2 linked regions of the Oreochromis niloticus genome follow. The protein of the gene in region 2 purifies or fractionates together with the protein of the main gene of each other region. This does not show direct contact. Links are inferred from orthologs where the notes say so. Each region holds a gene or a part of one and is shown on either strand. Other genes may lie near its edges.

What was found. Proteins that work in one complex are often made in the same cells at the same time.
Region 1: the proteins of syntaxin-7 (region 2) and snap23.1 purify together in Homo sapiens (affinity purification with mass spectrometry; 3 studies listed by BioGRID and IntAct, counting the BioPlex papers as one, with this or other methods). This does not show direct contact. The link is inferred for Oreochromis niloticus from reciprocal best matches to the Homo sapiens genes STX7 and SNAP23.

The regions. Positions count from the first base shown.
Region 1 is NC_031983.2:19,368,580-19,376,568, forward strand, and holds the start of snap23.1 (synaptosome associated protein 23.1), read right to left. Parts: upstream 3,031-7,989; 5' UTR 2,836-3,030; coding exon 2,828-2,835; intron 1-2,827. UniProt on the Homo sapiens protein: Essential component of the high affinity receptor for the general membrane fusion machinery and an important regulator of transport vesicle docking and fusion.
Region 2 is NC_031980.2:5,910,441-5,917,668, reverse strand, and holds the start of syntaxin-7, read right to left. Parts: upstream 3,016-7,228; 5' UTR 2,902-3,015; intron 880-2,901; 5' UTR 779-879; intron 1-778. Other genes in the region: leg1.1 (liver-enriched gene 1, tandem duplicate 1), read left to right, coding at 4,490-4,787, 4,947-5,030, 5,103-5,176, 5,404-5,508, 5,763-5,881, 6,478-6,619, 6,735-6,831, 6,929-7,080. UniProt on the Homo sapiens protein: May be involved in protein trafficking from the plasma membrane to the early endosome (EE) as well as in homotypic fusion of endocytic organelles. Mediates the endocytic trafficking from early endosomes to late endosomes and lysosomes.

The DNA.
Region 1 (7,989 bases), on a different chromosome or scaffold from region 2:
ATAAAGGATATCAAGGCCACACTTCTCGTTCACCAGTCATTATCAAAACAAACCAATGGTTTCCGACTTTTTTTCCCCCCGACCTTTTAACCAAAGCCTGTTGAATAGGAGAAGTGGAAACCTGACATTTTCAGGTATCAAAATGATGTTGCTTGCAGATACTGCATATATTGTGCTTACAGATGTGTGCTTATAGAGATTACAACTCATTAAATGTTAGGTCTACTTTGTTTCCTGTCTTGTTTGTAGATAAATCTACCAGAAAAACTGTGATAAGTTGTGGTGGAAAGTTTCCTCACATTGACAAGCCGCTACGAAGTTATCAAATCTGATTTGAGAAAATTTTTTAGAGCAGTGAACCATAAATGTAGAACAATTAATGCTTTAAAAATAATTAAGGATAAATGAATCCCTGCGTTAAGGTTTGGAAAGACCACAAAAAAAAAAAGAAAAAAAAAAGGAGGCTCAGCATTTTACATTACTAAAAATAGAGGATGCATTTAAAAGGTTAAGCATTTAAATGTGCAATCAATGTTCACCTTGTTTGTATCACTCATATGGAGAGGGAAAGAAAAGATGCAAAATCCAAACAAATCAGGCTCTTTTCCTTCCCCTGAAGGAGTGTTGTGAGTCTGGACAGAGCAGGCTTACTGATAAAGCATGTAAAGCTTAGCAGTGGGATGGCTAGTAGAATCATGTATGCCAACAATGAGGGAACTTGGATATGGAGCTTGTGATATGGAAATCAGAGGCGTGAGACTGGATAGTGACAACTGGCTGGAAAAACACTTATCATGCCTGCCTACTATACATAAATGCGAATTGAAATCACTGGTTATTGTTAGACATTTCAAGGTTGCAGATCAATTAAATAACCAGTAAAAGTGTATAAAAACAGATGAAATAAAGTCCTTTAGGAATATTCAGATGTTTAAGATGGTATTTACATTTGTTAACTTATTTGACTACAACTAAGTGATGAGCTTGTGATTTTCTTCGGAATTTTCAAAATGCAGTCAGTCTCAAAGCTACTTTCAACACAGAACTGTGAAAATGAAGTGCATAAATACCTAAAACATAACTGTTATGCTACATTAGAATAATTATATAACAGCAGATGCGCTCTATGGTTGGTTTAACACGAAACTAATGACAAAATGTGATTATAAGATAACAGGCTGTGCACTCACTAGTATCTTTATGGTCAGCATATGTACTGAAACACTAAATCAACTTAATTAGCAGAAGAGTATAACATCCATAAAATCCATGTCCTGTCATATATCCATAAAAAAGGTGCCTTGTAATGTGAATCAAACAACTTTCTTTCCTCTGTGTTAAACACTGAATTCTCAAGAAGCTTCATTGTCAGTTACCCAGTCACCAAAAACTGCTAATGCCTGAGAACAAAGTGACACACATAGCGGTTTTACTACTATAATCTTGGATGTGATTAACTCCCAGAGCTGATCACATCAGGACGCACAAGTCCATGTTTGCCAGCTCAGTGCATGCTCTGTTCAGATCAACATTCAGATTTCATGATCATGCACAATTTGTAAAAACAGCAGGCTAGGCATGAGGCAGCATCATCAAGAAGCTGTGAACAGCAGCAGGAAGAGCTGACCGTGTCTAGCAACTAAAACCCAGAAAGTGTGAAAACTGTCTGTTTTTTGTGCCCTCTGTAGTTTTCAAACAATGCAGAGCATGAATAGTTCAGTCAAAATAAGACAGATGAAAACAGATCAGAAGAAAATGCTTATGTTTGTTAGAGATCTAAAAACAGGATACATGAGGAACAAGCCTTTGCTGCTGTCTGCCAAATTGTATTGTGCATTTCAATGCAATTCATTTAGAGGAACAAAGTGTGTTAATTGTTGCAGTTATAATTCGGATCACATAATGACTGATGTTACCTCGTGCAGGAGTTTAGCAGATACAAATCCAATCTAAACAAAATTACTTTGTCAGGTGACCTTCATGCAGTCTTGTATCATGGGATAGGCTAAAAATGACTGGCGTAATGGCCTCAGACAAGCTTTGGTGAACAAGGCAACATTAGATAAAGCTCATCATAAGCAAAGAATTAAGCTTGTTTTCCTATCACTGTACTGTCAAGGGCAGAAGCAGTAAACTATAAAAACAAAGCTGAATCATTTACTCCAAGGCTAGAGTTTTTAGATGCAAACACTGCTCCCCCCCGCATTTTCCCTGTCATCTGCTTTTCCTTGTTAACGTCCAAGTGGCATTTTCCTGTTTTGCAAATAACCCCTGAACTACAACTTCCCTTTCAAACCTGCAGCCACTAAACATCCTGAGGGGGAAAGAAAAAAAAAGAAAGAAAAAAAAAAAACATGGATAGTCTACTTGGCAGACAGTGCAGAGGATTTAATGTTGTTGACTCTGCTTTTTCCCCTTTTTTGGACAAGAGTGCACTTTATTCACTCAGGCTTCACTGCCTTTTCTGACCGATTATTGGACTTGGCAAGACACTGATGTGACTTTACAACTATAACTATGAAGGTGGACTCATTTACACACGTACACTCTTTAGATAGCCACGACGAGGGCAGATGAACATGTCAGCGATAAAGAACGAAATGTGATAGTAAAAGCAGAGTTTTTTTAAACTGATAGCAATTTTTCTCCGTGTTTAGCCACATATGTGACTAGATTTACCAAATATATGACTTAGATATTACATTTCGCTTGTTTGCACCCCAAACTACGTACCCAACCCTTAAATTCGTTCCACAGTTAATATAACCAGAAAGATGTTAGTTCAGAGGAACAAAGGAAATAATACAACCGAGGCTAAAGAACATACCTATTCATGTTGCAGTTTCTTCACTTGACCAAGCACGAGTGGCAAACACCACACAGGGAAATGCGTTTCTTGTTCTTCTACCCAAACCTGTTCCTCCAGATTTGACTGGAGCACAGGTGGCGTCTTATTCCAATCACGTTGAACACATATCCTCATTTCACTCTTGATGTTTTATTTTCTTTAAACAATCAGACAGAAGCTATTGTTCAACGATTTGTTCTTACAGGCTGTCTTGAATAAAGACAACCTATTTATTTTGCCGAGGAGGAAGGTGTGTCATGTTTTGGGTAGGAGGGTTGACTAATAACAAACAAGGGGACCTATGACATCATACCAGACAAGCAAAGCCTAAACTGTGACATTTGATTCCACTATTTATATACGACAAAAGCAGGTTTTCCTGACTATCAAGACAGAAGACACTGAGGAAAATACGACATGTGGTTAATGATTCCTGCTGTAACACGTATCCACACACCTGACTGTGGTTAACTGCCAAGTGGCCACGTAACGTGGGTCACTTGATAAACAGGTGACGTTAGCCTGAATGAGAAACAAACCAAAAGTATTACAAGAAACCCCCGTAGTTTCAGGCAGTGTCCCACACCCAGTACACCATCGCTGGGGCCGAGAGGTTTCCAAAACAACACTTCTTAAACTTAATGAAAAAGTTACAAAAGAGGGAAAGACAAGTGTCAAACAGTTTATCAAAGCGAATTAAACTTGTCTTACATTGTCTGAAAACTTGCAGTGGTGCTCAGCTATCGCAAAGAGGGTAAAATCCGAGAGGGTAACTTCGTAAACTGGCTAATGTGCTGGCTAGCCTGCTAGTTAGCTAGTTCCGCTTTCTTGTCAACTACCTAACGCTAACACTCAAACAACTGTGTTGAGAGGAAAGTATAGGTAGATATTTATTAAGGGAGTAAATACTTACAGTTAACCCTCCTTGTTTTTTTTTGAAAAGATGACCTGAAAACTCCTCCTTCTTGACGGTATGTGAACTTGGCACTGGCAACTCCCGAATTCCTTCACTGGTTCCGCTGTCTGTCCGAAGATGGTGCTTTCATATGCTGTCGGAAATATGAAAACTCAAAACTTTCAACGATTTTGAGGCGCACTTCAACTTCACATAAAGGACCTTGCATCCCACGGTCACCCAGAACGATTTGAGGCACGGCATGCATTACTTCTCTTCCTATAGGTTTAACAATCTAAAACTGAAAAAGTAGTCTGGTTCTCAGGTAGTCAACTTTACACGAAAAGTTGACTTAAATATAACTGTGAAACTACTTGTGTTTTTCGTCTGTGTTTATCTTTTAGCTGCTGTATACTGATTTAACAAAATCATGAGACAATACAACTTGTGTGAAGTTACTTGGCTTCCACTTAAGATTAGTGTTTCTTTCTTGCTAATCAATTTTCTTTGTGGCCTTACTGTGCATCAAACTGCGACTCATAGAGAAGTGAGCGTTCCGTTAGCATTGAACGCAACACTTAATGATGCGCATGTCCTGTCATATGACTCCACAGAGGAAAAAGAAGAAAAAAAAGCGCTGCTCATTTTCCCCACATGAGTGCAGCATTTACCCTTCACCTGGACCTACCCCCCTCACCCCCGTCGCCCCCCCCTCTTCTGGGTATTTTACATGAAGACACACTGTTGGATATTTTTCATAGTGTTTCTAAGCGATGCTCTGAAATCCGAGCCTCAAGCAAAGAATCTGCTGTGTAATTCCCCAAGTTTTATGGTTTAAACCACAAAAGCCTTTTCAAGGTGACTGCAAAGACACCGGGCAGAGTGCCAGCCACAATATCAGCTGACAGTGTCTAAAAGGCAAGTTTTATTTTTCTCTCTAACTGGAGCTAAATATTTTCCCTGTTGGGTCACCTATAGCTAAATATGTACAAGCTGAAAAGCCTGTAATAGCTCCAAATTTGCACAAGGGATGCTCCAACGCTGCCCTCACCAAACTGGCCATGGTGCCTGAATGATTCTTAGCTCTCTCTGCCCATGTATCTTTTATAGAGTCTACATAGCATGCATTATTCAGCAATAACACACGGCCCATCTGGACTCCTGCAAATGTGTTTGTGCATGTGTCTATGTAAGGGTGTGGGGGTCCATAGTTAACTTTCTTGCTGTGCCATTTCACCATTTCACGCCACATCCAACAGTGCCTGAAGAGCTGAAATTATTTCTTCTGTAATTACAAGTAAGGTATAATGTGTGTGTGTGTGTGTGTGTGTGAGAGAGAGAGAGAGAGAGAGAGAGGAAGGTAAGGGCAAAGAATAGAAAGAGAAATATATTAGGTGAATGTGTAATAGTGACTGCAGATGGCACATTGAGGAACAAGCTCTTTCATCATCCTGTTCCTCATTAATAGAGATGGGAGTGCTGCCCTAATTCCATAATTCCTAAATCATGCTAGTTAGTTGAGTATGAGGAGACAAAAATACAAGGGAGAGAGAAGAATAGATTAGCCTATACCCTAATAATGTGTTTGAGAGCGCAAGGAAGCATCAGAAGAGGAGATGAAGGGGGAAAGGGAAAGAGGGGGGAGAAAAATGGAGATCGCCATCTGTATTTCCTCGGTTGCTTTTTGATTGTTGCCAAAACTAACATCATATAGGCCAAGTTTATTCTCGCCAACTTTTGTCCCATGTGTATGGCAGCCAGTGAAAATAGATAAAATAATCAAGTGATTAATTAGATCTGGAAGAGAATACATGGGGATATAAAAGAGCGTGTCTGAGCATGTGTGTCAGTGACATAGCCCTGATTTCTTGTTTCTCGTGATTTCAAGGAGCACATCTGTTCATTTCTGGCGCCGCTCCAGTTGGATCGTACATCCATCTTTCCTCGCACAAGGACCGAGACGTGGGAATGTTTCAAGGCCTTGCTTGATCGGGCTTAATTTAACATTAGGCTAATTCCGCTGATACCTGATACTTGTCAGGACAACGAATTGGCTGACCAAGCGTGCATCTCAATATTCAGAGATAATTTCATTCCCTCGTCTCCTTTTCACTGCAATCTACTCTTTCTCCATTTGAATTGAGCTCTCATGTGAAGCAATTTGAAGGAAACTAGAGACATCGATAGCCATTAGCCCGCTTTGCACAGGAGGGCCAAACATGGAAAGCCAAGGCTCATCTATTATTCATGTGCCTCAGTTTTCCCCCAAAACAACATTTCTGATATTCTTTTTACATCTCGCTGCCAAAAGCGACAAGTCAGTAGTTTCAAATAACGCTTTTAAAACAAAGCTGATGAATGTTTCAAGCTAGCACTAGCCCTTACAAACCCCAAAAGGAAAAGTTCCTATTGTATGTCTGGCTGTTTATGTCCGGATATGGGGAAAACCTAACGAGCTTAAGGAGGAAAGCAAACATTTCATCTTCACTTGTTAAACATTAAACTTTCTTGTTAGATCAGTCCAGCTGCAGAGACAGTGGAATGGTCACAATCTTCCTCCTCCAACCAGTAAGCATTACATCCATGTTTGTACAGACTTGACCTTTGACCTTTCAAACTCAAATGTTTATGCTTTTAGACATTTGTTAGTGTGTGGATTCTTGATTTATAGGCCAAAAGGTCTAGGAAGGGGTACAAAATAAATGTAGGGTAATAAATTGATGAATTCTACAACAATTCTTTTTACTTAGAAAACTAATTCTCATTGATTTACTTTTTGCTTTCTTTTAAACAGTTTAACAGTTAACACTTACTTAAATGACACCTTGTGTAAAGGGAAAATCATCATCAATGTTGGTGAAAATTAAAACAAGTCATAAACAAACGCTCAAAGTTTCCACTCAATTCCAGCTTATAATGTTATAGAATTTAAAGACAGTCTAAAAATAGAAGTAAAATATTAAGACACACTGTTGTGAAATATTAGGGACTTGAGATAACCCCCTACTGAGATAAACAGCTGTAGACAGTTGGTCAGATGCCATAAAACCAGTGTAGAAGAAGACATCATAAACAGATGGTGCAATTAAAAAGAGCAAATTTCAAGTGAATTTTGTTTGTTTCATGTATTATTTCTTTAATCTATTTTAATGTAATTTAACTCCTTCTTGAGCCACCTATCTGAACATTTACCCACTCCAAGTGTTGGTCTCGTTTAAAGCTTGAGTGTAATATTTCAGCTTCAGTTTGCATTCTCATTCATTTCCACCTTTAAAAAAAGAAGGCAAGTGCACAAAAATGCACTTAGAAATACTTGAAATCTATCTGGACACAGCTTTGTGTATAGAGGAGGTCTTTCTTCTATCTGTGTTTTGCAAAATCAGAAATCTAGTGGAGTATTTTCCTTCTAAAATGTAATGCAGTTTAGACCATGGAGATACAGTAAAGTGCAAGTGCAGTCAGTACATGAGATCTCCTTTTATGCTCATTTCTAGCTCAGTGTTTTTATTCTGGGAGTATGGTAGTGTGAATAATTTAAAGTTCAAAATAATTTATCTTATACTAAGCTACTGTGGAGCCACTTATTTCATCCACTGCCTGAAACGAGCTCTTCTCTCTGAAAGACCATCCTGCTTGAAGCCAGCTTTCTCCCGATTGGCTGCCCCTCCCAAACAAAAGGTTTTAACAGCAGGTCTTCGAAGCTCCTATTGTCATAGCCAGATCTGAGTACCTTAAATGATCATTTGAATGATTTCCCCTCTCTACTCATATAGAGCCATGAGTAGAAAAAGCAGGTTGAAGCCTGATCTGACCACCAACCACTGCTACAGCATTTATAATTACAAAAAGCGTAATAGGTCAACTTCGAAGACACTGCTTGGTTATTAGCACTTGCAGGCCACCCTTCTTGAAATCTGATGGAAACAGAAGAGGAAAGGCTATCAAGTTATTCACTCTCCTTGTTGTCAGCAGTTCAGATTAGCTGTCACATCACTGAGGGAGAAACAGCTGAAGATTGGAGAGGGTGATTTCATCTGAATAATTTCATGCTTTGACTGGCAGAGCTCACTGCTCACCGTCCCACAGCTTTGATGTCAGAGGAAGATAGACTGGGTAAAATAAAGACCCAGGTGCAGTCTAATATATGAATACAATCATCAGCACTTTGGAGGAAGAAAACAAAAAACAAACAAAGTTAATTCACATTTCCACTGAAGAAATTCCACTCACTTGGCTTGATTTCCGA
Region 2 (7,228 bases):
TCACACAAATGATCATTACAGCTAAAATTGATTTGATATCGATGCTGTGAAATAAAATATAATAAATATGCTGCAGAATTCAAAGATTTTCACATTTTAACCTTAAAAAAAAACCCATCTATCAAGGCCAAAAGCGCAGGCCCACAGTCTGATAAAGGTGTGTCGGTGCGTAATGCATTTCCTTATGGGATATTTGCTCATATCATACTGTACAACCTGAAGTGAAGGAGGGTTGGGTCAGGAATATTTAGAACAAGCTCCTCATAAGACTTCCTGACTCAAAAAAGACTGAAACCTAGTATGCAAATAACCACCTGCTAAGAAACTGTCACAGTGACGGGATATTTCTCGTTTGCTTTAATGAAAAATTAAAGTGTGATTAGGGTTAATGAAACTAACGTGCATGTTCTGAGGCTGATTCTGTCTCCTTGCCAACAAGGAAAAAATGCGGAAATCAGCAGAGTATTTTTTTTTATGCCATCAACATGAACGGATGAAGTGCAAATACTTAGTTATGACCTACTTGTGTTTGTTGGGGTTAACGCTGTTCTAATGTTACCTGTACACTGCTCTTCATTTTAACATTAGCGGGTTTAAGAGTCATGAAGTTACAAGAGAAGTCAGTATGAAGATGTTTGTCGCTTTTCGTTGCAAAAAAACAAACAAACTTAAAAATACGAAACAGCCTCGTAAAAATGCGTTGGTCGTCTAAAACGTCAGTGAAATTGTCAAGAATGACTAAAAGTTTACTTGAGTTGCGTAAAAGTTTGAACTTTACCTTTCTCGTGACTTGTTTCTTGCGTCGATGTGCTTCCTGATTTTTTCCGTTGGCCACTCCTCCATCACATGATGTCTGCTGCACTCACAGCGAGATCGCAGCTGTTAATAAAAAGTGTCAAACGGTAACATAATGGAGCCCAGAAAAGTATGGAAACAAAAACTGTCCTTTTCTTAAAAATAGAGCAACGACGCAGTACAGGTTAGGTATTTCATGATCTTTCATTCTTGGTTACTTTTCGACTGTAGGCTACCAGGTGAGATGCTGGTTCCTGGGCAGGTGAGGGGTCCAAATCAGTTTTAAAAATGCTAGTTTACACTGGACAACATCAATGCTTCTAGTTAGTGTAAGAGCCATAAAAGTAAAAGGGATTATAATTCTGTTTAGGTCTTGGGTGTCAAACATGAGGCTCGGGGCCCAGAATCGGCCTCATAAATTGAATTCAAATTGAATTGAATACATTCCTTTTACATCGTGGGCCACATACAGCCAACTTTACAAAACCCCCTTTCTCTGAACGTAAAGACGTTTAATAGCACATTTATTCCCCTTTAATATAAGAAACAATTAGTGCAATTTCAACATCACACCTATGCCGTTTTTCTACATGGTAAAGTTGGCTGGTTGGTTTCCACAGTGTGTCTTTTGGCCTGTCTCCCTCCCATCATGCCCAGCTAGTCACTGCAGATGGCCTCCCCTTGTTGAGCCTGGTTCTGCCAGAGGTTTCTTCCTGTTAAATGGGAGTTTTTTATTCCCACTGTCACCAATTGCTTGCTCATAGAGGGTCATTTGATTGTAGCAGTTTTCTCTCTGTTATTGTAGGTTCTTTACCTTAAAATATAAAGCTACTTTTGATTTGGCATTAAGTAAAATTTAATTGCACTATGTGTGCAGAAATGTACACAACAATTTAAGTATGATTGTGTAAAGTGTGTCCATTTGCTTCAGTGTGTATGTATGTTACTAGTCTAGTTGATTCATAGGGTGTTCACTTCTATGTGCATGAGTTTCCAGTCCAGACCCTGAGTACTGAGCTTTCTGAGGCCTAATGGAAGAAACCGTTGCACTGACTGGAACTGAGGGCCTAGATGTTCTGGTACCTCTTGTGAGGTGGCAGGAGAGTAAAAGGTTTGCGTCAGGTGTGTGTGGGATCATACACAATGATGGTGGCTTTGTGAATACAGAGTTTGTGGGATATGACCTTGAAGGTGGGGAAAGAAACTGGTGATTCTTTCAGCTGTTTTCACTTTTCACTATTCACTGCAAGGATTTTGTGATCTGATACTGTACCGTTCCCATGTCAGATAGTTATGCAGCTGCTTGGGATACTCTTAATAGTCAACCCTGTATTGTCGTTAGGATGGATGGATGGACTTTTCTCACCTTCCACAGAAAATAGATGGACTGCTGGGCCTTCTCACCAGTGAATGTGGTGTTGAGGGACCCGGAGAGACCTAATTAACTCTTTGGTGGGGGGGGGGGTTCTGCAGCTAACATGGGTCATAACTGATTAACCACAACAATAAAACAACTGACAGATGAAATGAATACATTCATTATCTCTTCGCAATGCAGAGTTTTCATGGAAAACCTTGTGAATGTTACTTTTACAGGTGTCTATCCACCAAACAATTCTCTAGCACCCTCCAATGGCAGCATCCTCCTATTGCAGGACAGTGCATCTTGCCACCCCAAAAAACTGCTAAGAACAGCTAATTTGCATAAATCAAACTCCTCAGATCTCAATCTGAACATCCACGAATGAGCCAGAATAGACCAGATCCACAGTGGACACACCCACAAGACCAAAGGACCCATGTTCATGCATTAATAGCCCAGAAATGAACTGTGTACAAATGATGGATGTAACGTAAATGTGTCTGTCTCTAAAGCGCTTTGGGTCACCTTCTGTGGTTTAAATGTGCTATAGGCTATTTAAAAAATTGGCAGTGAGCTGCATACTGAACTCAGATAATAGAACAGTATTGATTCTATCATGCTAGTATCAATTCGATACCAATAGTCGCATTGGTAATGATATTATCTAATAGTTCCCAAAAAGAGTCAAAATGTCAAAAGTCAAAAAGAACAACAACATAGAATATCCTACTAGGTAGGCCTACCTTGTCTGAGAAATCACCACAATACTGTGAGTGTCCCTCAGTTGGATCAATCCCTTACATGTCACATCCACAGCAAGATGACAAAACACTCAGCTTGAGGTTACAACACAGCATTTGTGTGCAGTTAAAGGGCAGCACAAAGGCGACTTATAGCAACAACTGGTTTTAATGTTTTGCTGATATGTGCATTTGTTAAATTGTTTCCTTTAAGCTTGTACTGGACATTTTTTTAATAATATGCTACTTTAGACTTACATGCCACCATATTGCTGAAAGACATTTCTTTTTAATTTGCTACCCTTCTTTACATATAAAATGGGCTTTGCTTTCAGAATAATGCAGAATCTGGATTAAAATAGTATTACCTAACAGTTCACTTCCTAACACCACCTCAACTTTTTAAAATTGTAGTTATAATTTCGTCCTTGCTGTATTGTCCATGCAAAGTGCGGTCATTTACAAAACACATTATGATGTTACATAAAGCTACGAGACATGTTCTGTTTACCAGACAGCATTAGCACATCAAAGTTCACTCAGATTAACCAAATCAATAACACTCTTAACTTCTGTATCCAGTACAGACTCACTGGACTGTACTGCACTTTGTTAAGTGCAATGGTTTGACTGATTATTAAGGTAATTCTCTAATCAGCCAATCTCATGGCAGCAACTACATGCATAGACATGTAGTCCATATCTAAATGTACAGGCAGATAGCCAAGGCCAAGATGAACTAATGAAGTTCAAACCAAGGATCAGAATGGGGATGAAAGGTTATAGTGGCTTTGAACGTGTTGGTTGTTGGTGCCAGATGGGCTGGTCTGGCTCTTTTAGGAATTTCCCCACTCAGCCATCTCTAGTGTTTACAAAGAAAGGTCCAAAAAAGAGAAAAAAGACTGTTTCAAGATTATAGTAAGGCAACAGTAATTCAAATAACCACTGAACCTTGAAGCAGATGGGCTCCAGCAGCACACTGGATGCCACTCCTATCAACCAAGAACATAAAACTAAAGCTATGGTCAGCACCTTGTTGAGTCTGTGACACAAATAATTAAGGCAGTTCTGATGAAAAAAGGGGGCCCAACTTAGTGTGAGCAAGGTGTAACTAATGAAGTCTTCAGTGAGTGTATGTGAAAGTAAATTTGATGAGTTTTTCCAGATAAAAAGTGTTATCTTTGGCTACTTAAGGGGGTAAAAATCTGCATACTTTTTCCAAGAATTCTTAGAAGTTATTTGGGGGTTTGTGTTTCCAGATTCAATTTACTGATGGTATCACTATAAAAGTTGTGGATTTGGGTTCATGTAAACAAATCAGCTCGAAGGATGAACAGATGTACTTTGCACTGAACTCAGTATTCTCTGAGTGTTTGGGCAATACTCAGCTGTATGTACTTAAATTCTCTTATCTGTTAGTCAGGGTCCAGTGAGCCATATGTCACATGGACTAATGTGATTGGGTGCAGATTTGCATGCACTGACTTTGGGATTCAGAGAAGTTATATAAACGCTGTATGTAAAGGAAAACTCTCAGTCCAGAGTAGCTGCTCTTGACTCTGTCCTTCTCTGCAGACCCAACACCACAGTCATGCTGCGTTTGCTGGTCCTTGGCCTCGTCCTGGCATGTGCAGTGTCTCTCAGCAGCTCTGCAGTAATTCTAGAAAATGGCGCTCCCATCCTTTGGGCACAAACGGCCAGCCAAGTGACTGAGTTGCCAATGCATGATGGGATTCTGCTTCCAGACCCCTGGAACTACCTTCACCGCATGAGTTTATACCGGCTGATGATAGCTGCTACAGACCCCTTCATGGGATCCATGGGGACAAATGCTACTGACAGTCCGCTGTGGGGACTGCCACTGCAGCTCGGATGGATGTTAACTTCAGGTGAAGTCAAAATATAATTTTATTATTTTTTTTAAAATCAATAATAATCCTTTCATCACAATTTAACAAACTTTGTAGTACAAAACTGAATAAAGAGCCTCCTAATAATGCAACTAACAAAGAAACAAGACCACAGCTAATGATCTGTTGTTTCTACAGGGCGTCTCGCTGATCCAACAGGTGCAACAACTTGTGGCCTGGAAGCAGAGCCTTTGTGCATTTCTACCCAGAGTTGGTGGGCCTGTAAGTACAAGGAACAAATGCATAAAAAACAAACACAGGGGGAATACAAATGACCTCTTTATGTTTCTCCAGGTGTGAACTATTTTGCATCTGTACTTCCCTTTCTGTCTGCCGCACAACAGGGCTTCATGGGAGCAGGAGCTCAGGTACTGTCTTAAACTGAAAATGAACACTTAGAAAATAAAACAACAACAACAACAACAACAATAATAATAATAATAAGAAGAAGAAGAAGAAGACGAAGAAGAGTACACTTTTTTTATGCCATCACACAAATATTTGCAATTTAAATAATAATGAATATGACCATTTTGTATTATTTATAATGTATGTTATATAGTGCATATTATCATGTATGTTATTACATTACCAGGTCCAGATGCAGGTGCCTGCAGGAGTACAGGACTATTGTACAACTTATGCTGACTGTAAAGCTAAATACCCTGATGCCATGTCTAAGTGGGATGCTTTTTTTCAGGTATTGAAACACAGATATACACTGGTACATATACACACGGTTTCTATTCACATAAAATTATCCCGCAATTTTAAAGGGGAACTGAACTTGTATTATTTTGTCCTTAGCAGAAAAAATTACATTTTAAAAAGTAGTAAAATAAAGTAAAATAGTTCAAAACAGGTCTGTGTTCCCTGAATGCACCAGCTTTATGAAACAACAAAGCTACATTGCTGAAATAGGTGTACTCCTTTAATTGTTCATATTGTTTTAAGGGTCTGAAGACTACTAGTGAATCTCTTCTGCCTGATGATGTGAAGAAAGACACTATCCTCGGTGTCTATTGGGACGCCCAAATGGCTTCAACCTATGCCTCTGCAGCATGTAATGCCAGGTAATTTCTTTTACTTTCACTGTAACCATGTTACTTATTAATTGTAGACTATGTCATTTTCATTTTTTATTCTACTGCTGTAACACAATAACCCTTGTTAGATCAATAAAGTATCTATTTTTATCTATCATAAAATCTATAATTTTAATGCATTTCATTACTAAAACATTTACACATACCCTCCTCCCCAGTCACCCATCCTGTTTTAACATATTACAAATCGTGTACACACGCATTCATACATGACAATGACATTGACTAAATCTACTTCATCTTTTTTTTCTGGCAGTCTTGTTAGTTTTAGCAGTGTCAGTACTCTTTCCTGCACAAATTTTAACATCAATGCCCTTATTGCCAATACTAATGAAGCTGGAAAAAGTATTAAAGCAAAAATGATTAATATCCTTATTATTTATAAATGTTTATAAATACAATTGTTTTTGTCCACTGAAATGTTTTTGGTAGTTCATTGCACACCAAAACTACCAAGGACGAGGCCTTGCTGTTTTTCCCTGCAAGTGGTCAAAAAAGCCAAACATTTATCTCAAATTTCAGCTCTCTTAATCTCAGCTTCTGTGCTCTTGCTTCTCCTATAGGCAGAGCCACTATTCCTCTGTAGAAGTGTCATTTGCTCAGAGCTGGCTGAACTCAGCAGAATATGTAGCAGCAGCTCGATTCCAGGCCAACATGGAAAAAGCACTGCTTTTCCTATCCCCTCTGCCAAGTCGGATTTTACAGGTACATACCTTCAACCTTTTCCATCTGTTTATTTTACACATCACTTCTTGTTTTCTGAAACACACAAAGTGAGAGAAGGCTTTTATCCACTCTCCATTCTGTCTTATCATTTTAGGAGGGCGACAGCGCACCTAACATTGTTGGTCTGACTGCGGAGGAGAACCACACACTGTATATCTTCAGCTGGATGAAGACTATCGACAGTCTGCTTGGTAGGACACACACACACACACACACACACACAAGCAAACACAAAATATTATTGCTAAGCTTTTATTTTAAGTTATGCTCATGATGATGATTTACCAGGTGGGACATTGCTGCGTCTGTGGAAAGGTGCCATGTGTTCAGTAAACACAAGGCAAAAAGGTGCGCAGGTGCTGGAGCAGCTCCTCCTGAATCCCAGCTTTGCTACAAGCACTTTCCTGTCCATCATCACTGAGATGACTACCAGCTGCTGAGTCAAACACATAAGATAAATACATCACGGTATTCATTTTTTCTCCTGAAAAATGACATTTTTGTCCATTAAACAAAGTTGTTCAAGTAAGTTTTGTCACTGGTTTTTAAGGTCAACTTGTTGCACTTATCAGTGGTGTATACTTGGCA